Arabidopsis thaliana: one gene and its partners. The protein of the gene in region 3 interacts with the protein of the main gene of each other region in a pairwise test. Each region holds a gene or a part of one and is shown on either strand. Other genes may lie near its edges. The genes, in order: TRFL5, CYTC-1 and AT4G32190.

Evidence for each region.
Region 1: the proteins of AT4G32190 (region 3) and TRFL5 interact in a two-hybrid assay, tested with the Arabidopsis thaliana proteins (one large-scale study listed by BioGRID).
Region 2: the proteins of AT4G32190 (region 3) and CYTC-1 interact in a two-hybrid assay, tested with the Arabidopsis thaliana proteins (one large-scale study listed by BioGRID).

What each region holds. Positions count from the first base shown.
Region 1 is NC_003070.9:5,402,084-5,410,079, forward strand, and holds TRFL5 (TRF-like 5), read left to right. Parts: upstream 1-3,941; 5' UTR 3,942-4,054; coding exon 4,055-5,227; 3' UTR 5,228-5,403; downstream 5,404-7,996. Other genes in the region: AVP1 (Inorganic H pyrophosphatase family protein), read left to right, coding at 1-102; ATPC2 (ATPase, F1 complex, gamma subunit protein), read right to left, coding at 546-1,706; AT1G15710 (prephenate dehydrogenase family protein), read left to right, coding at 2,422-3,498; AT1G15730 (Cobalamin biosynthesis CobW-like protein), read right to left, coding at 5,452-5,589, 5,698-5,802, 5,948-6,033, 6,120-6,235, 6,418-6,509, 6,605-6,655, 6,820-7,016, 7,117-7,297 and 2 more.
Region 2 is NC_003070.9:8,074,797-8,082,498, reverse strand, and holds CYTC-1 (CYTOCHROME C-1), read right to left. Parts: upstream 3,213-7,702; 5' UTR 3,116-3,212; coding exon 3,004-3,115; intron 2,988-3,003; exon of another isoform or gene 2,525-2,987; coding exon 2,391-2,524; coding exon of another isoform or gene 2,387-2,390; intron 2,312-2,386; coding exon 2,213-2,311; 3' UTR 1,925-2,212; downstream 1-1,924. Other genes in the region: AT1G22850 (SNARE associated Golgi protein family), read left to right, coding at 1-121, 243-295, 393-485, 576-799, 1,038-1,104, 1,474-1,584, 1,781-1,828; AT1G22830 (Tetratricopeptide repeat (TPR)-like superfamily protein), read right to left, coding at 3,467-5,578; AT1G22810 (Integrase-type DNA-binding superfamily protein), read left to right, coding at 7,530-7,702. UniProt on the Arabidopsis thaliana protein: Electron carrier protein. The oxidized form of the cytochrome c heme group can accept an electron from the heme group of the cytochrome c1 subunit of cytochrome reductase.
Region 3 is NC_003075.7:15,540,139-15,548,134, reverse strand, and holds AT4G32190 (Myosin heavy chain-related protein), read right to left. Parts: upstream 3,336-7,996; 5' UTR 3,084-3,335; coding exon 3,021-3,083; intron 2,735-3,020; coding exon 446-2,734; 3' UTR 278-445; downstream 1-277. Other genes in the region: PANK2 (pantothenate kinase 2), read left to right, coding at 4,420-4,675, 4,845-5,060, 5,180-5,232, 5,487-5,603, 5,906-6,025, 6,151-6,245, 6,322-6,415, 6,542-6,673 and 3 more. UniProt on the Arabidopsis thaliana protein: Required for the initiation of starch granules biosynthesis in leaf chloroplasts. Involved in determining starch granule number and size in chloroplasts.

The DNA of each region.
Region 1 (7,996 bases), on a different chromosome or scaffold from region 3:
GGACCTTCATTGAACATCCTCATCAAGCTCATGGCTGTTGAGTCTCTTGTCTTTGCTCCCTTCTTCGCCACTCACGGTGGTATCCTTTTCAAGTACTTCTAAACTCAATCCGAGGGAAGAAGATGACGATGATGAAGAAGAAGAAGATGATGATGGCGATCGATTCTAAACTTTCTTTTTTACCATTCTTATTTTCGTTTACCGTAGGTGGTTAAAAAACCTTTTTTGTTGATGAGGCTCATTTAAAGAACCAACCAAATGATGTTTCTTTCTCTCACTCTCTGTCTTTCTGTTTTCTTTTTGTTCTGTTTAGAATTTAGAAATCCACCAAGTATTCGGTCGAGACTTGTTTTAGCCGTTACTTTCTGCTGCTTATATTTCCTAAATTGGTTGTCTTCTTCGAGACATAATTGGAATTTATTGTTACTGTTAGTCTTTTGTCGGCGTTAGGTGTAAACGATTCTCAATTTCTCATGATCTGTAAATTCTTTCATGACATTTATTACCACAAACAACAAATGATTTTACACAGCTGTAGTTTCTACCTAAGACTCTCGAAGAGCTTCTGCTCCAGCCACAATCTCCAGCAACTCCCCAGTGATCTTAGCCTGTCTCGCTCGGTTATAAGCCATCGTCAGATTCTTCTTCAATTCAACCGCATTATCAGTCGCATTACTCATCGCATTCATCCTCGACGCAAGCTCACTCGCTAAAGATTCCTGCAGTGCTCTTAGAATCTGACTGTTGAGATACAAAGGCATCATTGCATCAAGAATCTGAACAGGGTCTTGCTCAAACTGCATCAACGGTGAGATCTCAGGCTTCTCAACTTCAAGCTTGGTCCTTTCCACAGCTAACTTCCCATCTTTGCTCGTTAGCCTAAACATCTCATCCTCGATAGCATCAACACACTCACCTTTCACATCACAAGACTCTCCTTTCATCGACAAAGGCAACAGAGTGTGGATCACAGGATCAGATTTCACCAAAGACACAAACTTTGTGTAAACAAGCTCAACTTTATCAACCTCTTCACTGACAAACAAGGAAAACACATCATCTGCAATAACTTGAGCTTCTTTAGTCGTTGGGAAAACACCTCCTCCTTCAATACATTTATCAACATCAAATTCATCTCTCCGACTAAAATAAGCATTCCCTTTCTTACCTACACTTATCACAACACAGTCTATTCCTCTCTGCTTCAACTCTTGAACTCGCAGAGTAGCTTTCTTGGTCACTGCATTGTTGAAACCACCACACAATCCTTTATCGCCAGTAACAACAACCAAAGCAACTCTCTTCACGGGTCTAACAATGCTCAGAGGAAAATCAATGTCTTCTAATTGAGCAGATTGGTTAATTGAGTAGAGAATCTCCACAAGAGTTTCAGTGAAAGGTCTACCCTTTATGACTGCATCTTGAGCTCGACGAACTCTAGCTGCCGCCACGAGTCTCATCGCTTCCGTTATCTTCTGGGTATTCTTCACACTGTCGATTCGTTCTCGTAACTCTCGGATTCCAGCTCGAATTTGAATTGAGGGCAACGGAGATCTCGACGAAATCCGGTTTGGTGTCAGTGATTGAAACGGATAATAACGAACTGGTTTCAAGGTAGCTATGAAAGAGTAGGACTCTGAGCTCGAAGCCGAATTCGAATTCGAAGGAGACGACAAGAGCCAAGAGGTCGAGATCGAACCTGTCATTTTCGTTTGGGAAAGAAGACCCTGAACTTGAGAGGTTTAAGATTTCATCTTCTCGTGAAGAAATGAGCAAAGAAAGAGAACTTGAGGGGTTTTCTGTAATTATCATGTTTATTAGGGGTCAGTATATAAAAATTACTACAAAAGTCAAAATTAGAGTTTTTGTTTTTTTTTTTCTATGAGAAAAACGAGGGAAATATCAATAACCCTCCTAAATCCTAATAAAAATTACTACAAATAGCCAAATTAATAGAAAACCAAAAAACAACAACTATAGTCAGCATATGAAAATTACGAAATTTTCTTTTTAAAGATTCATATATAGGAAGAGATTGAACTTTAAAGTAACAAATCAAAATAAAATTATGGACAAATAAAAACTCTAGTCCTTCAGAAAAAGAAATATTGTAAATGCGGGTTACTAAATACAAATGAATACAAAACAGTACCTACAAATTTCCTTGGAACGACTTTTAATTTTGACCTCAATTTTTTATTTCCATTATGGTCCTTGTGTTGTTGTGTATTTAGCATTTTGTTTTTCTTGGGTCAATCAGCATCACCACGTTTAGGCCACGACATAAAATTGATCCGTTTATTTTTGAGGCTCGCTCGCATCTTCTTCCTCCTTTGGCGCAACCGCTTCTTCCTCTTCTATTCTCACAGATTTCTCTAAGCTCCCAACTTTGGAGCTAAAACTCAATCAACACTACTCACAATGCTACTCCATTTCTCTCCGGCGAAACCCCTCATTTCTCCACCCAATCTCCGCCGCAATTCACCCACATTCCTCATTTCCCCGCCGCGATCTCTTCGAATTCGAGCAATCGACGCCGCCCAAATCTTCGATTACGAAACCCAACTCAAATCCGAGTACCGCAAATCCTCTGCTCTCAAAATCGCCGTCTTGGGTTTCGGCAATTTCGGCCAATTCCTCTCCAAAACCCTAATTCGACACGGCCACGATCTAATCACTCACTCCCGCTCCGATTACTCCGACGCCGCAAACTCAATCGGAGCTCGTTTCTTCGATAACCCTCACGATCTCTGTGAACAACATCCCGACGTTGTCCTCCTCTGTACCTCAATCCTCTCCACAGAATCAGTCCTCAGATCATTCCCTTTCCAACGTCTCCGTCGTAGCACACTCTTCGTCGATGTTCTCTCCGTTAAGGAATTCCCAAAAGCCCTCTTCATTAAATACCTTCCTAAGGAGTTTGACATTCTCTGTACTCATCCAATGTTTGGACCTGAGAGTGGTAAGCATTCTTGGTCTGGCTTGCCCTTTGTCTACGATAAGGTGAGAATCGGAGACGCAGCTTCAAGACAAGAGAGGTGTGAGAAGTTTCTAAGAATTTTTGAGAATGAAGGTTGCAAGATGGTTGAAATGAGCTGTGAGAAGCATGATTATTACGCAGCTGGATCGCAATTCGTGACGCATACTATGGGAAGGGTTTTGGAGAAATATGGAGTTGAGTCTTCGCCGATTAACACCAAAGGTTATGAGACGTTGTTGGATTTGGTGGAGAACACATCGAGTGATAGCTTTGAGCTTTTCTACGGTTTGTTTATGTATAATCCGAATGCTCTTGAACAGTTGGAGAGATTGGATATGGCTTTTGAGTCTGTTAAGAAGGAGCTGTTTGGGAGATTACATCAGCAATACAGGAAGCAAATGTTTGGTGGGGAGGTTCAATCGCCCAAGAAAACTGAGCAGAAATTGCTCAATGATGGTGGTGTTGTTCCTATGAATGATATATCATCATCATCATCATCATCATCATCATCATCTTAAGATCACAAGTTTGATTGGATTATGCTAGATTCAAAAATAAAAAGTTGTGACTTTTTTGGAAAACGTCAAGAGTGGAAAATAAAAAAGGGATTTTGGTGTGTTCATATGTATGTTGGGGTCTCTTTTGGCTTGGTATCAATAAACTTGTCTTTTTTTCTCTAAATGTATCTGTGGAAATGCTTATCCCTCTGGTCGCCGGAAACAAATACGGACAAATTGTCTCCTTCTCCGGCCATATTTGTATTGGATCAACATTGTATTGCTCAAAAGTCATTACTGTTTTTCTCTGTCTCCAATGATCTCGGGTCACCCACCCGATTCGGATCAGGACAACATCGTTTCGTTATGGGCCGATTATATAATGGGCCGCTTGAATGTCTCGTCTTATTTAATTAAAAGAAAAAAACACATTTTAAATTTGAATGATTCACACGTGTGTTGTTGCCACCATAGTTGGTCGGAGCTTTTCCTCTTCCCAAAATTGTAACCCTAACCACGCACCGACGGCGAAAACTGATCGCGGGTTTTCGCATCTTTTACTTGCAAAGTCTTGGAAATGGAAGTGATGGACAAATGGGTAGCTGAATTTTTCCTCCGACGCCAACTAAATCCTAGGGTTTACGCTTTTCCACTGTTATCGGCTCTGAAACCAGTAGATTCCGACGACTGTGTAAAACTCAAGCTAACTGCTGTTTTGCGGGATATCTCCAATTCCATGATTCAAGGTACCGTAGACGAAGGAATGCTTGATCTCCTCGAAATTCTTGAGAAGCTTCTGTTACAGGAACATTCGGTTATCATGGGATCTCTCAAATCTGCGTATTGCTGGACTGCTGTGGAATGCACGCTTAGGTTTATGTGGCCAGTGAATGCTTCGGATGGCTTCTTCGGTGATGCCCTTGAGAGGATTTGGAGGAATCGGATTGGGACATTGAAGGAGAAAGAGAGCGACTTGGTGACTCGTGAGTTGTTGAAATGGGAGAGTGATCTAAACAAGGCGTTTGAGGAACCTGAGATTTACCAGAAGATTCGTGAGACTAACATCAGGTACAATGCCATCTCTCATCTTAATCAGCTTCTCAAAGAGCAGTGGGCACTACTTGGATGTTCTTCTCTTGAATCAGAAGCTCGAAAGAGGTTTCTTAAGCGTAAGGATTCACCATATGCTTCCCGGAGAGGAGGTAATAGAGAGAAAGCTAATGATGTTGAAGAAGTGGGTGGTGTGGAGAATCCTGATGGGGTTGGTAAGGTGAATGAACATGAACAGGAACACGAGCCAAGTCTTAATAAGGGGGAAATGTTGGTAGCTCGAGAGCTTAAGGATTTTTTGTTGGAGATTCAAAGACTCATCGACCCTATAACAAGGCAAGATCAAGAACCTAACAATGCAATGGAGCATTCAGTTGATGTCACTCCTCAGCCTGATGGGGCAAATAGGACTGATGCAGAAGATAGTGAGGGAACATCATCGTCTAGAAGAGTCAGGCCTCATCTACCAACCCCGGAACCTCTGAATGTATCACCGTTGAAGAAAGGAAGATTAGAAAGACCGCGTCCCAGAAGGCCAATGAAATTCTGGACTTCTGAAGAAGTGGCAGCTTTGAGGGAAGGAGTTAAAGAATATGGAAAATCATGGAAAGATATCAAGAATTCATACCCTGTTGTTTTCGCTGATAGGAGCGAGGTGGATTTGAAGGATAAGTGGAGGAATTTACTTGGTCGTCAGTAGTAGGAATCTTACCTTCTAACTTATGGGCATTTTGGTTTTGGGATCTTGTGTAGTTTTGCCGCTTGTGTTAGAAAGGGACTCACTTTTTGTACGGTGAAGGCTTTAATATGTTCTTGATTCAGGCTCTTGTAGTTAGTGTCAAGCTTTAGACGATATTTCTTGTTCAAAAATCTATTGACCAGTTGATTACAAAATGGAATGATTTTAAATATTTGGTCCTATAATCAAATCAAGCAAGCTCTGAAACCCATCTCTAACTCCTCCCGGTTCAAATTCTTGCCGATGAAAACAATCTTGTTGGTTCTTGTTTCATCTTTTCTCCATAACCGGTCAGGTGATCCTTCAAATATTTCATGAACTCCCTGTTCCAACCATTATAAACCACAAACGTCAGAGATAATTTACATCCCAAGGCTTCGATGCTTTAGAATTCATCCGAAATGATCAAAATAATGACAAAGGTTGGTCACCTGAAACACGAATCTCTCGTCCATGTCTTGTACGGAGAGGATACCTTTCATTCTGTAGATATCCTCACTACGTTGGTACAATAGCGCCCCAAGCCACATGTTAGCCTGATCCATTTTCAAAACTAAGGTTATAGATGATGCAAGTAATCAATCGCACATCTCAACAATCGTTTTAATTATAAGTAACACGTCAGGTGCTACAGTTTTATGCATCACATGTGACACAACTTGAGCCATATTGGGTTAATACCTTCTCGAGGTCTAAGTCTCCTTCGCAAACTATACTGACTGAACCAACACCAGGGTCATGGGTGTGATCATGAGAATGGTGATGCTCTGCAGTTTCAGAAGCAAACTAATCAATGCATGTAGGCGATCGTTATTAAGTAATAAGGCCATTATTTGGTAACACTATAACATACCGTGTTCATGCTCATGCTCATGCTCATTGTGGTGATCATGGCAGTCATGACCATGGTGATGATCATCATGACCCTCGCGATCTTCTTTCTCTTCTTCATTCACAGAGCTTTCAATTCTGGAAAGATAAAATAGTTGGCCACCAGCAATAAATCAGAGTAACAAAATCAGCCCTCTTAAACCAGGAAATCCACAACCAATAAACCATAACAAATGTAAGGAGCTACAATTCACTTTGGACAGAAGTTTTCGGAGTGACTCGTAATAAGATTTTTAGTAAGACGTAAAATAAAACCGGACCTTTCTAGATCAAACCCTCCAATTCCAAGAACATAATCCAAGTCAACCTTCCCATACTTTGTCCGCTTCATGTGAGCCATGCTGTTTATGGTCTGGAAATAACCACATCATAAATGCTAACGCAGTGCACAGAGAAAAATAGATGTTCAAAGAGAAAAAAGAAAGAATCAGAAGAAGCAGAACCTACCTTTATCCGCTGCATCACTGAAGCTAGTTCTGGCTCACCAACAAGATCAGTCTACAACAAAGTACAAACAATTTTCAGCTTGTATGATATGTCGAGGAGAACATACATAGCAGACCATTGAAAAGCTTCTACTATAAGCATCCACCACACATTTCAAATACAAGTTATGGTGATGTTAATCATGAAAATTAGGTCGAAATAGAACTTCACAATACCTTGTTAACAATGATACGATCCGCGTAAGCTATTTGTTCAACCGCCTCATTGACATAGCCTTCAGGTTTGACCTCATCTAGATGCAAACGAGCATGTTTAGCATCAACCAGAGTGACAACCCCATCCAGCTTGACATCATTGAAAATTTCATCCTCAGCATAGAAAGTTTGAATAATCGGAGCAGGGTTAGCCAATCCTGAAAGAAAATATACATAATATATTCATTTATTCTTTAATAACATAGTAGTTGGTTCTTAACGAATCATGTAGCTCCAGAGTGATAGAAAATATTGAACCTGTCGTCTCAATAACGATATGGTCGAACCTTCCTTTCTTGGTCTGGACCATTTCAGAAATCATCCTCACAAGATCACCCCTAACAGTACAACACAGACAGCCATTGTTAAGCATCATTATATCCTCCGCTCCCGCAGTTTGAGCTGCCACAAGTGATCCATCAATGTCGACTTCACCAAACTGAGAATTCACATTTCAGAACAAATTAGTGAAACCATAAAACATAAAACAATCTCTATTCAGCTTCTCAGACAATACCTCGTTCTCAATCACGGCTATGCGCTTCCCATGATCTCCCGTCAATATATGGTTTAGCAATGTTGTCTATACACTCAGAAAAAAACAATTCCAGTGAAATTCAGAATCTGATCGCTCAAAATTGAGCAGGAATTTCCGAATCATGAACCCTAGATTAGCCTCACCTTACCAGAGCCCAGGAACCCGGTGATTATAGTGGCCGGAATTCGATTGTCGGGCAAAATCTCACTGGCAACATCGAAGATATCTTCATCATCTACAACGGCGAGCGAGGAATCAGAGGCAACGGCGGAGTGGAATCTCCGACGGCTGTCAGAGTAAAGCGCCGCGGAATAGAACGATGACGACTTCGTTCTGAGGGAAACTGTGGCTGTACTGAGCCTAGCAGAAGCGAACCGATGGTTCAAGGAGGTATTAGCTCGGGGAACGATGAAAGCAAGGAAAGTCGTGGCTATGTCGAGTTTCAACAGCGTCGCCATTGTTATTAGGGTTCAAGGTATTCTGTGAAGGTTCGGACATAGAGATAGACAGTTAGACACTTGCTAGCTTCAGAATTTACGCGGTTTTTTTACATTGTTTTTTTTTTCCGGTTCCATCCAACGGTCGAGATTTGACTTGTAT
Region 2 (7,702 bases), on a different chromosome or scaffold from region 3:
AAGGGTACTATCTTAGCCGGAGTTTTGTTGATTGGTACTGTTGGTGGATTCGCCGGCGTTGGATATGTCTACAGGGATCAGATCAATACTTTCCTTACTCAATTCTCCACTTACATCGAAGGTAACGATTCGATACATAGAAGCTAATAGAACTTAGTGAGAATAGACCTTTAGATATTGATGATGCATTTAGATAGAAGTAAGTTGATGGAGTTTTGTGTTCTTGATGAATCAAACAACAGGTTATGGTACGGCTGGGTATGCGTTATTCATTGCCGTCTATGCTGGGCTTGAGGCAAGCTTTTTTATACTTCTTCATCTGCTTTTGATGTTTTTTATACTCTTCATTGACCCCAGTTTCAAGGTTTTGTTTTTTGAATCATTTGTGTTAGATACTAGCCATTCCAGCTCTCCCATTGACGATGTCGGCTGGTCTTCTCTTCGGTCCACTCATTGGCACTATCATAGTTTCTATCAGTGGAACTGTAAGTTTATTCTTCCCAAGAACACAATCCTTAATCTCATCAAGTGACCTTCCCATGTTGATATATGTTATTTTGGTTTTCCTGTGTTAGATGGCTGCTAGTGTTGCTTTCTTAATTGCTAGATATTTTGCCCGAGAGCGCATCCTTAAGTTAGTTGAAGACAACAAGAAGTTCCTCGCCATTGATAAAGCGATTGGTGAAAATGGGTTTAGAGTTGTTACTCTCCTTCGGCTAAGCCCTCTACTTCCTTTCTCTCTTGGCAATTACCTGTACGGGTTGACGTCTGTGAAGTTTGTGCCTTATGTATTAGGAAGGTCTGTGTTCTTGCAACTTTGTTATACTTATTTCCCTATGATATCCGCTGTAGAAGCTTGATACTTGAGTTGTAGTAGTCAATTAGTTCCCAGCACTTAATGTCCACTTGGTGTTTACTCTCAAGCAATCTTGACCAGGAGTTGATTCAATTTGTTTTGCATTTGAGAACAAGATTTCAACTTGATAAGCTATAGTCTGAGTTTACATACTCATTCATGGATCATACTGTTTTTGCAGCTGGTTGGGTATGCTTCCAGGCTCTTGGGCTTATGTCAGCGCCGGGGCTTTTGGACGAGCAATCATTGTGAGTTCTGTTGTCTTTTTATCTAATCTCTATATCACTTTGACACAAAAAAATGAACTGTACAAAAACATGCCTATCTTCTCTCATTTCAAGCCTATGGTGTACAATAAGTTCATGTTGATCAGCACTTGTGTAGGGTAGAAAGCTAGCTAAAATCATCAGCTAAAAGTTTTGTTTTTGACTTAATGAAAAGGAGATCGATATCGAATGGTAAACATGTACTCAATACGAGGGAGGCTAGTCAACTTATGGAAGTTAACTTGAATTGTAGAAACTGTGTCTGATATCCTGTTGAATTGTGAATACATGGTGACTCTGGCAAGCATCATAAAATCATCAAATGACAATCTTCTGTCTATGTCGCTTCAGCAAGAAGAATCTAATGTTGGCTTGCCTGGAGGAAACGGCCAGCTTTTAACTCTCGGGGTGGGTCTGTTGGTTACTGCATTGGCTGGAACATATGTGACAAGCCTTGCAAAGGTAAACTCATACTTGTTTACTTCTTTTCTTTCTCTGTTCTGCGTTATATTTGCCTCCCACTTCTGATATCAAACCAACTGGTTCAAAGCTTCGTAGCATATAAGCTCAGAAAAGTCCCACATTTGGTTGAAACTTAAAAGATGTAAAGTGAAATGAATCTGTCTCATGTATATCTTTTACTTGCCGTGTGTTGCAGGATGCTATAAAGGATATTGATGATGATGAGAAGAGAGATGCAAAGTAGGAAACAAGCCAGCGATTGGATAATGGTTTTGACTCTCTAGGATTTGTAAAACGCCAACAGAGTATCATGTATCAACGTTAAATGTATTGCTCCATTATTGTTAATAGTTGATATATAATTCGAATCTTTTTTGTCCTTCAAATTTAAGCACCAATAATAAGTGAGAAAATGCTTTCTAGACAAAAAAAAGGAAAATGAGCCTCAGAAAATCAAATGTACTCGATAAAGTGAGCCTCAGCACACATTACAGCCAAATTCCCACCAAGAACGTAATTGATGATAAACAAAAAAAGTTTGAGATTTTATTTGGCAAAAGAATATAGCAAAGTAAAAAAGCCTCATCTGAGAGAGACTTAACAACTCAGAATCAATCCACCATCAGATTCACTTAGGCGCAGTAGATTCCTTCAAGTAGGCGATGAGATCAGCACGGTCTTGCGGCTTCTTTAGCCCAGGGAACACCATCTTGGTACCTGGTATGTACTGCATCATATAAAAAGGCCATCAATCTCAATGTTAACAACAACAACTCATGAAACAATCATGACATGATTATACAAACCTTCTTGGGGTTGAGCAAGTAATCGTACAAGGCCTTCTCTTCCCATTCCACAGCTTTGTTCTTGTTAGCAGCAGAGTAAGAGTAACCAGCAGTTGTACCAGATTGTCTTCCAAATAGACCGTTTAGATTGGGTCCTATATTAAAACAACAAGGTCAAGTGTTGAGCAACAATGTGACGCAAATCACATTCTACAAAAGCTACGAAAACAATAGAAACCATTGAGCAACAGTGTTTTCTAATTTCACGCAATTTCAAGAAAAAATGAGAATCTGTGACGCAACTAGCTCAAATCATTGTTGTATCATTACTTAGAATTCGAGAATCAAGTTCCACAAAAATGCGAAAAGTTGTATATAAAAACCTCAGAAATTCGTCACATGCATTGAGCTGAAGATTTAAGGATAAACACGAGTAAGACATCGAGGTTATTGGATCAGATCTATGATCTAATCGAAGAATCCGTTAACCAGATCACATCAGAGATTTTTGATTAACATGAACAAATCGATTATAAAGCGATGTAAAACAAAGGCCCGATAAAAATTCAGATAAATTGCGAAAATCAACCATAGAAATAGAATTCAAGAGTGAGAGAGATCGATGAGTGAAAACCTTGTTTGTGACCGGCGCCTGCTTCGACGGTGTGACACTGAGCACACTTGGTCCTGAAGATCTTCTCACCGGCCTTGGCGTTTCCTGGTGGTGCTTCATCAAACGACGCCATTTTTTTCGCTTGAGCTACGCGATCAGGAACAACAAGAGAAAATGATTACGGAACTCTCGTTTCTCTGGAGCTTGCCGAAGTTTCCTTAGGGTTTCACTGTGGAAAAAGTGACCTCTCTTAAAAAAGCAGTATCTCCAATCTTAATGGGCCCTTAATGGGTTTAGGTGGGCTCATATTTATTTCATATATAATGCTGTTTATGCTTGTTACTCATACTTGCGAAGGACCATCCCCTAGTTCATGTAAACTTATGTTTACAGGAAATCATGCAATTAAAACTTGTTGTATATAAGATTTATGTACAAATTGATTCTCCAGTTTGATAAAATATTTCTATCAGAATTTGATTCTTTATCCTACTTCTACAAGACGTTCTTCATCTGAACTTTGCTCCTGATTGATGACAGAATCATCGTTCATCGGCTTATTATTCTCTCCATCTAACTCCGAATCTGTTTCCATCAAAGCAAACTCATGAGCCTTTTGCACGCCCAAGTCACTCAGTAAAGTCTTCACCGTTACAAGCTTGCTCCAAGAACCAGTTACTGCATACATATCTGCAAGCAACATATAGTGACCTAAGTGTTCTGGCTTTGTTTCTAGTAGTAACTTATCTGCAGCCCACTCCCCAATGTTTGTGTTCCCGTGGATGAGGCACGCTTTCAGTAGAGTAGCACACATAGCACTTGATGGCTCGTAAGGTATTGTATGGAATATATCTCTGGCTTTATCCAGGTAACCTGCTCTGCAATAAAGATCAACCATACAAGAATAGTGTTCAAGGCGAAGGCGTATACCAAACACATGCTCCATCTTCGTAAACAACCAGTGTCCTTCACGCACTAAATTGGAATGGCTGCAAGCTGATAAAACTGCAACCATAGTTACATGATCAGGTTTGATACCGGATCTGTCCATATCCTTGAACCATGCCAATGCGACTTCTCCTTTACCCAGCCTGCCATATCCATCGATCAAAGAAGTGTATGTCACTTTGTCCCTCTTCCTCATCGAATCAAATACTCGCTTTGCAGCTATGATTTCACCGGATTTTGCATACATATCGACAAGGGAGTTCCACAGGATTAAACAGTCCTTGTAGCTTTGGCGTCTCAGGATGTAGCAGTGAAACTCTTTCCCATGTTGCAGGTTTCCCACCCGAGCAAAAAGAGGGAGAATGCTAGCAAGCGTAATGTGATTTGGGTGAAATCCAGAGAGCAACATCTCCTTGAGCAGGAAAGAGGTTTCTTCTGATCTCTCGTTGTATGCAAAACCGGAAATGATAGAATTCCATGTACTCAAACTATTTGCTTCAACCTGCTGAAACACTATAAACGCGTGCCTAAGATCACTGCATCTTGAGTACATTGTGATCAACGAATTCCGAACATTGTCAATATCATGGGAAAAACTACAACTACGGATCACAAGGCAATGAAATACTTTCCCCCACTTTAACGCTCCAATGTGTGAGCATGCCTTTAAACCATTAATCATAGCTACAGAACCTATTCTTACATTGCAATTTCTCATCCCAACAACACAATTCAAAGCCCCTATGTAATTTCCTGCCTCCAAACAACCTCCAGCTATTGTGTTCCAAGTTACAATACTCGCTTCGACACCAGAGAGATACATTCTATCAAGAAGCTTAAAAGCTTCCCCTAACTTTTCTTCTGAAGTATAACAGTTGATTATTGCATTCCATGAGACAGCATCCCTTTCAGACATCCTGTCAAACAATCTCCGAGCAACATCCACTTTACCAAATCTTTTATACATAGATATCAACGCGTTGCAGACATACAAGTTACACCTGTGAGAGCTAACCTCAATAGAGCCATGAACAACTCTCCCATATGCAAAATCCAGTAATGCTGCACAAGCCTTGATAACAGACGGGTAAGTAAATTCATCCGCTCTAATTCCTTTACTCATCATTCGCTTGTAAACAGAAACAGACTCCTGAAACCTTTTGTTCCTAATATACGAACCGATGAGCACATTCCACGGCAAGGGATGCAAAATCTCAGAGTTCTCAGTAATGGTCTGAGCTTCGTCAAGGAGATTAAAAGCAGAGTAGAAAGTGACCAACTTTGGGACCAAAACAGAGTCAAACTCCAAACCCGACGAGATACAATGAGCATGAAGTTGCTGGCCAGGAACAAACTCATTAAAACCCACACATGTAGATAGAAGAGAAGCTGATGAATACAAAACGAATTCATGAGAACCAGACTGGTAGCGAAGTAGAGAGAAAGTTCTGAAAGCTTCATATAATTGACCATGGGAAATGCAATGTCTAAATGAATTGAAAAGCACTTGTGGAACTGATTCATCATCATGGGTTTTGGAAGTTTCTGAGATGGGTCTCGGCAGCTGTTTCCACGATTGAGGAATAAACTTGCAAATTTCGGATACAGTGAGACCTCTGAGTATAGAGCGAGAAGGAGAAGACGGCATATACAGTAAGCTGCATATGATGGCAACGAATGGATTTTGATTATTGTTCCAAGACTAGTTTGATCCATCAAAGCGAAAGTTCAAGCAATTTTGCTTCTCCGTCTGAAAGTCAAAGGAAGAAAGGTGAGAAAGATAAAAAAAAAGTTTCGTTGAGGAATTTCATCGAACATGTGGTGAGCGAAACATACCGTATACAGACGAAACATGGAAGTATAAGTACATCTAGAGAAACATAAAAGAGATAAGACAGATGTCATGTAGGAAGAAAAAGGAAAGAAGACAGTGATTCGGAGACAGTATCGACGGAACCGGACGAAGCGAAAGTAGGAGTAGCCGCGCGTGAAGGTTATGTAGAAAGAGACTCCTTTTTGACATTTATTCAATGTTCTGGCATGTGCTCAGATGATTTGGGCCGCTTGTTTAGATTTGTCCACTTCCAGACCCATTGCAATTGTAACCCATTTTAGCCCACTAAAATCTGACTGTAACAACTTTATAAATTTATGGTTTTTTCAAAATATTACCAAGGTTAAATAAATCGTGTTAGATGAAGTTGGCACCAGTTTTTGATATTACAAAATGAGGTCACTAGTATTTTTTTTATAAGAACTTATAATAAGTAATTTATTAATTGCATTATTTCATTAATATTGATTTTATATATACTGATACACTAGGGTTTTTATAAACATTTAAATTGTCTAAAATCGCATAGACCAACCGAGTAGGTGTGAATATTTATTGTCAGATATCAATAATCTGCTAGACGTTTCTAAAAACATCTCTAATCGTAACTTACCAAGTTACCTTTGAGGTTTCTTCTAAATGAGTCGGTGACTATGATAAGACGGTGTATCACATCACAATCAACTCCCAAATGTCAGTGTCGAGAAAAACCTAATCAAGTATCAACTACAAAGAATTGGTTATGCATCCGAAGGATGAAAACACATTAAATACATTATGAGACTGGGTTTCTCCGTGGATGATTCGTGTTTTGGATGTGGTTGTGTGTGAACTAAAATTTGACAACCATGTACATGAGTCAGCAGACACAGAAGAAGACAAAAAATAACTTTTTCCAGTTAGTTTGGGCTGTTGTGTCTGTGTGTTGTCCGTGGAGAATCATTAAGTCATTACAGATCTTTGGTCAAATGCCAAAAATAAAGGACCCCCTTTAGACGGTGCTCATGTCACGCATGACGCAATTTGTAACCAAAAAAGGCAAAGAAAGTCTTTCTTTATCCCACGTGGTTTAACCATCGACGACGACGTTTTCACATTCTTCATCGGTGGAGTTTGAATCGACTTTTGTGTTTTTCACTGCTTTTCTCTATACTATTATGTCATCACCTATTTTACAGATTTTTATGAAACGAAATAGAGGATATATAGTAGTATAAAATTCTAGATTTCGACTTAAGACTTTTTCATATAAAAAAAAATGAAAAACCTATAAATTAAGGTAACCTAACTATGATATACCAAAGCAACAACAACAAAAAATAAAGATTAATTTTCTATTTTAAAAAAACAAAAAATATCATTTATTTTGAAACCAAACAGAACGGTATATATACCACTTGTTTTATAGAAATGACTCTTACTTTCTAAATACATTGAATTTACTGTTAGACACAGCAAAAAAAAAAGTTACAACTTGAAAGAAAAAAAAATCGACTAGTCAGGCACATGTCAAATTGGTACCACTAAAAAAATGGGTCATACTTTGACCAGTTGATTTTTTCCTCGAGAATTAACTAGTTTTATAATTGGTCAACTTCATTCTCATTCTTGATTCATATTAAAAAATATTATATAATATTTTGACTTTCACTAAACTTCAACGTATAAATAGTCTTTGTATCTTCATATTCAAACATAAACAACACTCAAAAGTCTCTTCTTCTTCTTCTTCTTCTTCACATCGATCATCATACAACAACAAAAAATGGATTACAGAGAATCCACCGGTGAAAGTCAGTCAAAGTACAAAGGAATCCGTCGTCGGAAATGGGGCAAATGGGTATCAGAGATTAGAGTTCCGGGAACTCGTGACCGTCTCTGGTTAGGTTCATTCTCAACAGCAGAAGGTGCCGCCGTAGCACACGACGTTGCTTTCTT
Region 3 (7,996 bases):
TATGATTTGATTGAGTATCAGAGTATATATATGGCAAAATTTTGGTCCGAATCAAGCTTAAATATTATCCTTTTTCAAATTTTCATTTCTATATATTTTTTTGCTTTTATGTCATGATGCATGTTTACAATTTTATTATTTCTAATAATTATTAAGTTTTGTCAAATAAAAAACTTTATAATATTTTATTTTAAAATCTTTATTTTTTTTGAAGAAATCCTCTTAAAGTCTCCACCACCATTGGACAATAAAAAATTGTAAAGATTCAATAAAAACTCTAAACTTTAAATTATTTAATATTTATTATTATAAAATGCAAAGAGTTCTTGATTAAGACTCTCCAATAGACTTGCTCACAGTGACAAGTAAACATATTTAACCGCCAGTAATTCTACATATCCACAAAAGAATCATACAGATTAGGCTTATAAAGTTAATCAAAGCTTTATAAAATTACACCTTCCATGCATGTAGATGTACCAGCAACGATTCCTGCGTTCTCCAGGAGTTTCTCTGTCAAGGACCAGAGCCTGACAACTTCTGTTTTTACCTCACCAAGACACTCATTACTTCCTTCTGAATACCCTCTCTCTGGCATTACAGTGTGAGTTGTGTCGGCCTCAATGCTCATGTCAGCTTGAGTTAACAGTTCCGTGCTCATTTTTGCAAGCTTCTGTAATGCACTGGTCGCAGCTTCAACTTCAAGGTTAGCTGCCTCAAGCTGAAGCATCTCTATGGCCAGATCACCCATTGTTTTTTCCCCGACTCTCTCTTGTGCCAAGGCATATAGCACTTTCAAATCTTCACTGTCATTGATCGTTTCTTCTTTCAATTTCTTGAGTTCCTGCTCCTTGGCTTCTAATCTTCCCATGACCACGTTGATCTCTTCGTCTTTAAATGTCAAAGCCCTCTGCACCGCTAGAACTTCCATTTCTTTCATCCGTAGATTTTCTCTGGTGAAGCTTAACTCCATCACCAGCCGTTTGTTCTCCATTCCGTAATCATCATGAGGTTTCTCTAGTGGTTGCTGCATTGAGTCAATGCTTATCTCATTGTTAATCCTCATTGCATTCTGATTTTGACCGTTGGTGGTTGACATAAGCAGTCTGTTCGTCAATTCTGCAATTCTTTCCACCACCATTTCAGCTTCAGTGACTTTCAGCTTGGAACTGCCCAACTCACCTTCTATTCTGTGAAGGTGGACATCTTTCTCCTTCAGCATCTCAGTTGCCTCCATAAGCTGATCTTCTCTACTGATCATAAGTGCCTTTAGCTCTGTTACCTCCTGGTTCACTTCTCCCAATTTATTTCGAGCTTCAGCGAGTTCTTCATCCTTTTCTTGCAGTAATAGTTCTAGAGAAGCCTGTTCGGACTTCAGATGCTGAATCTCTAGTTTGGCCTCCACCAAACTTGACTCTTTCTCCTGAAGTAGATTTTGTGATACCTGAAACGCATTAGCTTTTTTGTAAAGCTCATCTTGAATAACGGATATATCATGCATAGCTAGCTCCAACAATGGTTTCTCTTTCTGCAACTCCTCTCGTAAATCCTCCAGCAATTCTTTTTGGACCGATATTTCCCGCTCAAGCGCAAAATTTTTAGCCTCAACAACTCTGAGCTTTACTCTCTCACTTTCAACTTCAGTGTGCGCATCCCTCAAGCTTTGCATATATGACAACACACTTTTCCTCTGTTCCTCGAGTTCCTCCAATTGTTTTTCCAATAGTAGCTCTTTTTCTTCCATTTGCTCCCTGGAAAATACCAAAGCTTCCCGAGAAGAAATAAGCTCGAATCTTACATCAGTCAGAAGCTTTTTCACTTTCATGAAGTCCTCCATGGTTTCATTGGCTTCTCCTAAACGTTTCACGGTTTCCTCTTTAAGCTTATTCACTTCATCCTGGGCTATCAGCCACTCTTCTGTCTGTTTCTTCAAGTTGGCTTCTGTTTCTCTAAGCTTTTCTTGTTCAAGTTTCTTCGTAGCCTTAGAAATCTCTAATTCTTCTTCCTTCTCCTCAAGAGCTCTCTGAAGTGCATATATTTCACCTTCTTGTCTCTTGACAACTTCGTTGGCTTTGCTTAAGAGTTGTGACTTGCTTTCAAATTCAGAAATAGCCATAGAAACCTCCTTGCTTCTGTTTGCAATCTCTTGACGCATCTTCTCTAGCTCTTCCTCTTTCAAAGTCAAGGACGATTGCAAAGCAGCACGTTCCTCGTCTCTTTCCCTTAGCTTATGCTTTAACTCTTCTATCTCCCTGGCTTGAGAAGCTAACTCCACATTTGCCCGCTTCAGCTCCTCTTGTAGACTCTCATGCTTCAACGAAGCTTCAGAGATTGTTTTCTCACGTTTTTCTAACTCCTCCTTTGCCCGGTTAAGTTTATTTTTGTCAGAGAGAAGCTTCCTCTCAGCATCGTGCAGGTCCTCTTCCCTTTTCAACAAGGCCACTAGCGCAGCCTCAAGGTCAGACTCAAGCACGCCAAGGTTTGAATAGGGGAGATCATCATCGTCAGGATAAACCGAGTGTTGATTGGTTTGTCTCTCCAATCTGTGTGTCCGAGCAAATAATTTATCGAAAAGAACATTTGCAGACTCAGCTGAGCCATTGTCGTTGATGTTGGGTCTTGTATTGTGCAAGACTGATTGAACACTCAGTAAAAGATGTCTCTTTCTCCTTGTAATGCTCGGGAATGCGACAAGACTCTTCTGCTTATGGTTTACTACTCTTGTCAAACAATACTGCATAAGAAAAAATCATATGGCCGACATCAAAATCAAAATCAAAAGTTTGATTATTTTGGACAGACACTAATCAATATGGATGCAAGCAAACTTATTCAAATTAAAGGAACAGTATTGAAATTTGCAATCTTTTTAAGCCAGAACAAGGAACAATCAGAACAAGGCCAGCAAAAGTCAAAAATTCAAGTTTGATAAAGTTAAGAGTAAGTAAAGTGTTGTGAATCAGCAGCGATATATAAATGAAAATATAGGGGATAATATAGAGAAAGGTAAGGAAACAAACATCGCAGGGAGAGGGAGAGGAGAAGGAAGCAAGATTCAAGCGAATGGCCTGAGAGAAACCCATCCTGAGAGCATAATTATGCAATCGCCATGGAGCTTAAAGACGGAACAAAACCCAAATCCACTGGATCAAATTTAACAAGTGGGCGTTTTGGAGAAGAATGCTTACGAGAACAAATCCAAGGAAGAAGAAGAAGAATCTAGCTAGGGAATGGATATTGTTACAAAATTCTTTTACCAAAAAAAAGGATACAAAATAATAAATAGAGGCTCGCGTTGGCTTGCGAGTTGTGGTCGCCAGTAAACTCGAAAGTCCTTTTTGCCCTTATTCATAAGATGCATGTCGGCATTGTCCAAATACACGGCCAAGGGATCTATTTGTAAAAATAATGGACTCTTCTTAATTACGTACGTGGTAACGGTTTTCTAGTATGACAATTCTCTTTCTTTCGCGTAGTCGGCTAGTCGCGTGGTTAGAAATGCTTACACACTAAAGAGTATGTTATATTAAACTGGAATATAAATTTAAGAAACTGAATAAAAGTCATCAGGCCCATGACATTGGCCCAATAGACCCAATGAAAAACCAATCCATCAGCTAGTTTTCTTAACATATCAACCCAACGAGGTTGTATCTTGTTACATTTGCAAGTGAACTTTTTTATCATTAAAAAATGTAACAATGGTATTTTTGGTTTAGTGTTCCTAAAATATTTGTTTCCCACATAAGATTTTATCTACACCAAATAGTCCAATTGTATAATATAATCCATCTTCACAAAAGCATTTTAAAGGATATCCTACCTTCTAAATTCCGGCGAAAAATATCTTAAATCTGAAAAAGTGATTTATCGTGAATAGTGTAATGTTAGCAAAATCTTAAACTTCAAAAAATCGTAAAACATAAAGAATTAAGTGTGACGGATTAATTAAGATATCGAAACCAACACAGTAATCCTCATCTATGACTTGGAAAAACTCATAAGTGGCAAGTGGAGTTCGAGTTTGGTCATTATTGTGAAACACCAAACCTAATCCACTTACAAATTCATTAAAAACTACAAATTTGTGTGGTAGTTTTTTTTTTTTTTTGGGAAATTTATGTGGTAGTTAATTAGTTAACAAACAATTATATATAAATACAAATTTTGTTTGGAGTTAGGTCCGCTTCAGCCTGCTTAAGCGATTCTAAGCTTAGTCGTATAATCGTATTAGCAAAAGCTCGAACAGTTTACTTCTTTACCCTGGAAAGTCTTATCATCATCAGTTCGTGTCGTTTGACTTTTTAAACTTTGCAAGGAAGGGTTTTGTGGTGGTTTGGGAGAATTAGGCAATTGTTGGTGATCCGATTTTTCTGGGTTTGGTTGGGTTCCTTTTTTATTTTTTAATAAAAAAAAAAAATGGCGGGTCAAGAGGATGAGTATGATCCAATTCTTGACAATAAAAGAGAAGCTGAAGCAAAATCTCAGGTTTCTGTTGCTGCTGATAAAAATATGGCTCCTTCTACTTCTGGTACTCCGATCCACAGATCAGGCTCTAGACCTCAGCTTGATCTAAGCAAAGCCGAAATTCAGGGGAACCTCGAGGAGAGAGATCCCACCATTTTATTGCCTAATCAGTCTGATGATATCTCTCATTTGGCTCTTGATATCGGAGGTGACAACAAATTTCACTTCTTTTTTATTTTCACTGTAGTTGACCATTGATCTAGTGCTTGTGGTTCTTCCAGTAGTATTTGGTGTCACTTCTTGGTTTTGGCAATTTCGATGTTTATTTCTTAAGTGCTATGTTTGAGAATTATGAACCCTTTTAAGTTTATTTGCAGGTTCTTTGATAAAGTTGTTGTATTTTTCACGACATGAGGACTACTCTAATGATGATGATAAGCGGAAGAGGACGATCAAGGAGAGATTGGGTATTACCAATGGCAACTTGAGAAGTTATCCTGTTCTTGGTGGTAGACTTCATTTTGTCAAGTTTGAGACTCACAAAATTAATGAGTGCTTGGATTTTATTCATTCCAAGCAGCTTCATCGCCGAGGTATTATTACTTTTATCCTTTTCAGTGTATGAAATGTTGTTTTGTATTATAAGATCAATTTCTGGTGATTTACTCTTCAATTCGTCTTCTTCTCCATTTCTTTTCAACTAAATGAATAGATCCTTATCCTTGGAGTTCAAAGACCTTGCCTTTGGGGACTGGTGTTATCAAGGTAATCGCATTTTTATGACTTGATTGTTTTTATCTTTATCACCTTTTGAGGCTCCTTCTGCATATATTTAGCTCGCTCTTTCATTTGAGATACCAGATAACATTTAAGACCCTCATAATTATTGTTTTTAGGTGAAACGTTTTTTATATTTATAAGTCTTGTATATCCATGTAATGTGATTTGCTGATTCGGCTTTGATTAGTTGATTATTACTTGTTTTAAACATATGAGTCAAGCGTACGTGTATCTTTCAGGTCACAGGTGGCGGGGCATTTAAATTTGCAGACTTGTTCAAGGAACGGCTGGGCGTTAGTATTGAGAAAGAAGATGAAATGCATTGTCTTGTTTCTGGAGCAAATTTTTTGCTCAAGGTAAGACCTTTCTTTATGCAACATTCCATTTATGTTGTCTCTGCATACATATTTGTACCTTTTATTACTAGCACTTGCGAAATAGAAACGTAAAGACAGACTCTCATTATATGTGACCGGTTGATTTGTTTGTTGAAGTTCTGAGTCACATGAGAGAAAAACAGCTGGATATCTGTATGTGTGTTTTACTATACTTAAAGTTCTGCTAAGACTATTGAAATTTTGCAATTAGTCTACTTTTCTTTTGTCTATTTGCATGTGTATGTTTTGAATTTATTCTTAGTTTCTTGCATTTTCTGCAGGCTATTCGACATGAAGCCTTTACGCACATGGAGGGTGAGAAAGAATTTGTACAGATAGATCCCAATGACTTGTATCCTTATCTTCTTGTGAACGTTGGATCTGGTGTTAGCATAATCAAGGTATTTGTTTACGTTTGCTACTTTTTTCACAATCAGTGTGTGTTTGGCTCCTTGAACTTCTGAATTGGGAGGTCAGAAGATTGCATGGACCTGTAGATTTCATGCAATGGCTTTTCAAAGTATAGGTTGATGGTGAAGGAAAGTTTGAACGTGTGAGTGGAACTAATGTTGGCGGTGGTACCTATTGGGGCTTAGGAAGACTTCTAACGAAGTGCAAGAGGTTACAGAGCTCTGATTTTACATTATTTCTTTATATTTTTGTTTCCTATACCTTACACTGTTTTCTTTTGTTTCAGTTTTGATGAATTGCTAGAACTCAGCCAAAAGGGAGATAATAGTGCCATTGACATGCTCGTTGGTGATATTTATGGTGGCATGGATTACTCCAAGGTAGGAGTCAACTTTGCATCAAACTACATGTGATCTCATTTGTTATAGGATGTGACTACTCTCCTATTGAAACTCAGAATGCTTTATTACTACTGTTCTAGTAATTCTCATTAATCAATCATACAGATTGGTCTCTCTGCTTCAACAATAGCTTCTAGTTTTGGCAAGGCGATATCTGAAAATAAGGAACTGGACGATTACAGACCTGAAGATATTTCCTTGTCTCTGTTGCGGATGATTTCATACAATATTGGGCAGGTATGCATTGGCGAGTCCAAAGGATTCAACGAAGTTCTTAAGCAAGAATAAGCCTAAATGTTTCTCATTTTTATTCCTAAGCATGATTCCATTTGGAAGTTTTGATCAGTGAATGTGATAAGTTATTGAGAATATTATGAGTTTCTGATTTGTTTTGTTGCTGTGTAGATATCGTACTTGAATGCCCTTCGCTTTGGGTTGAAGCGAATATTTTTTGGAGGATTTTTCATAAGGGGTCATGCATATACCATGGATACAATTTCATTTGCTGTACATTTCTGGTAACTTCACTTGTAAACTTGACCTAGATGTGATATGCGTACTCACCTTCTTCACTCAAACTTATTTATTTATTGCTTGACTACACTAGGTCTAAGGGAGAGATGCAAGCTATGTTCTTGAGACATGAAGGTTTTCTGGGTGCTCTAGGTGCGTTCATGAGCTATGAGAAGCACGGATTGGATGATTTAATGTCCCATCAGTTGGTTGAGAGGTTCCCAATGGGTGCACCATATACTGGAGGAAATATTCACGGACCACCACTCGGTGATTTGGACGAGAAGGTACGAAATTTAGCTTACGCTTTACCAAAGTCTCAGTTTGTTCTATTTAATACTTTGAAACTGACAGCCAAAAAAATTCCGTAATGACATGGGACTTCTCAAAATATGAAAGTGCGGGAATATGATACCATTTATGCCTTGTGCTGGGTAAAGTGTATGCTGGTTACCATTATAGTATTCTTTAGGCAGTTGCATTGTAGAATATGCTTTTCTTGAAATTGGAATCTTTTGGCAAATGTTTGATCTTCCATGGACTTACTGAATATTATGGCCGAAGGAGATGGTCGGATACTTTGAGACTGTTGAAGTGCACTATGACTTGTTCCTTTCCATGGTTTGTGTGCTGACTGAATTTTTTTGGATACTCAATCATTAATCTTGATGATTAGTCATAGTTTATGCTTGTATGGATATTTTTCGCTGTGAAGTTTACTGGTTCTTTCCTTTTTATATACAAAGTATCATTTTGTGTGACAAACGAATAATAGAAAGCAAGAGTAAGAAAAACCTCGTTTTCAAATCTGTCACAGTTATATTCTCTTTTCTTTTATGTATATATCAAAAACGAGATGGAATCAAGTGCTTTTTTCCCACTTTCCTTGTGCTAATGGTAGAGAGATATCACATCAACTAGTTATAAGTGTTGTGTGTCTTGACTCTGTTCTAGATAAGTTTTGGAGTTTAAAAAGGCTTTCCTGGTTGCTTTCAGATTTCGTGGATGGAGAAGTTTGTGCGTAGAGGAACTGAAATAACTGCTCCT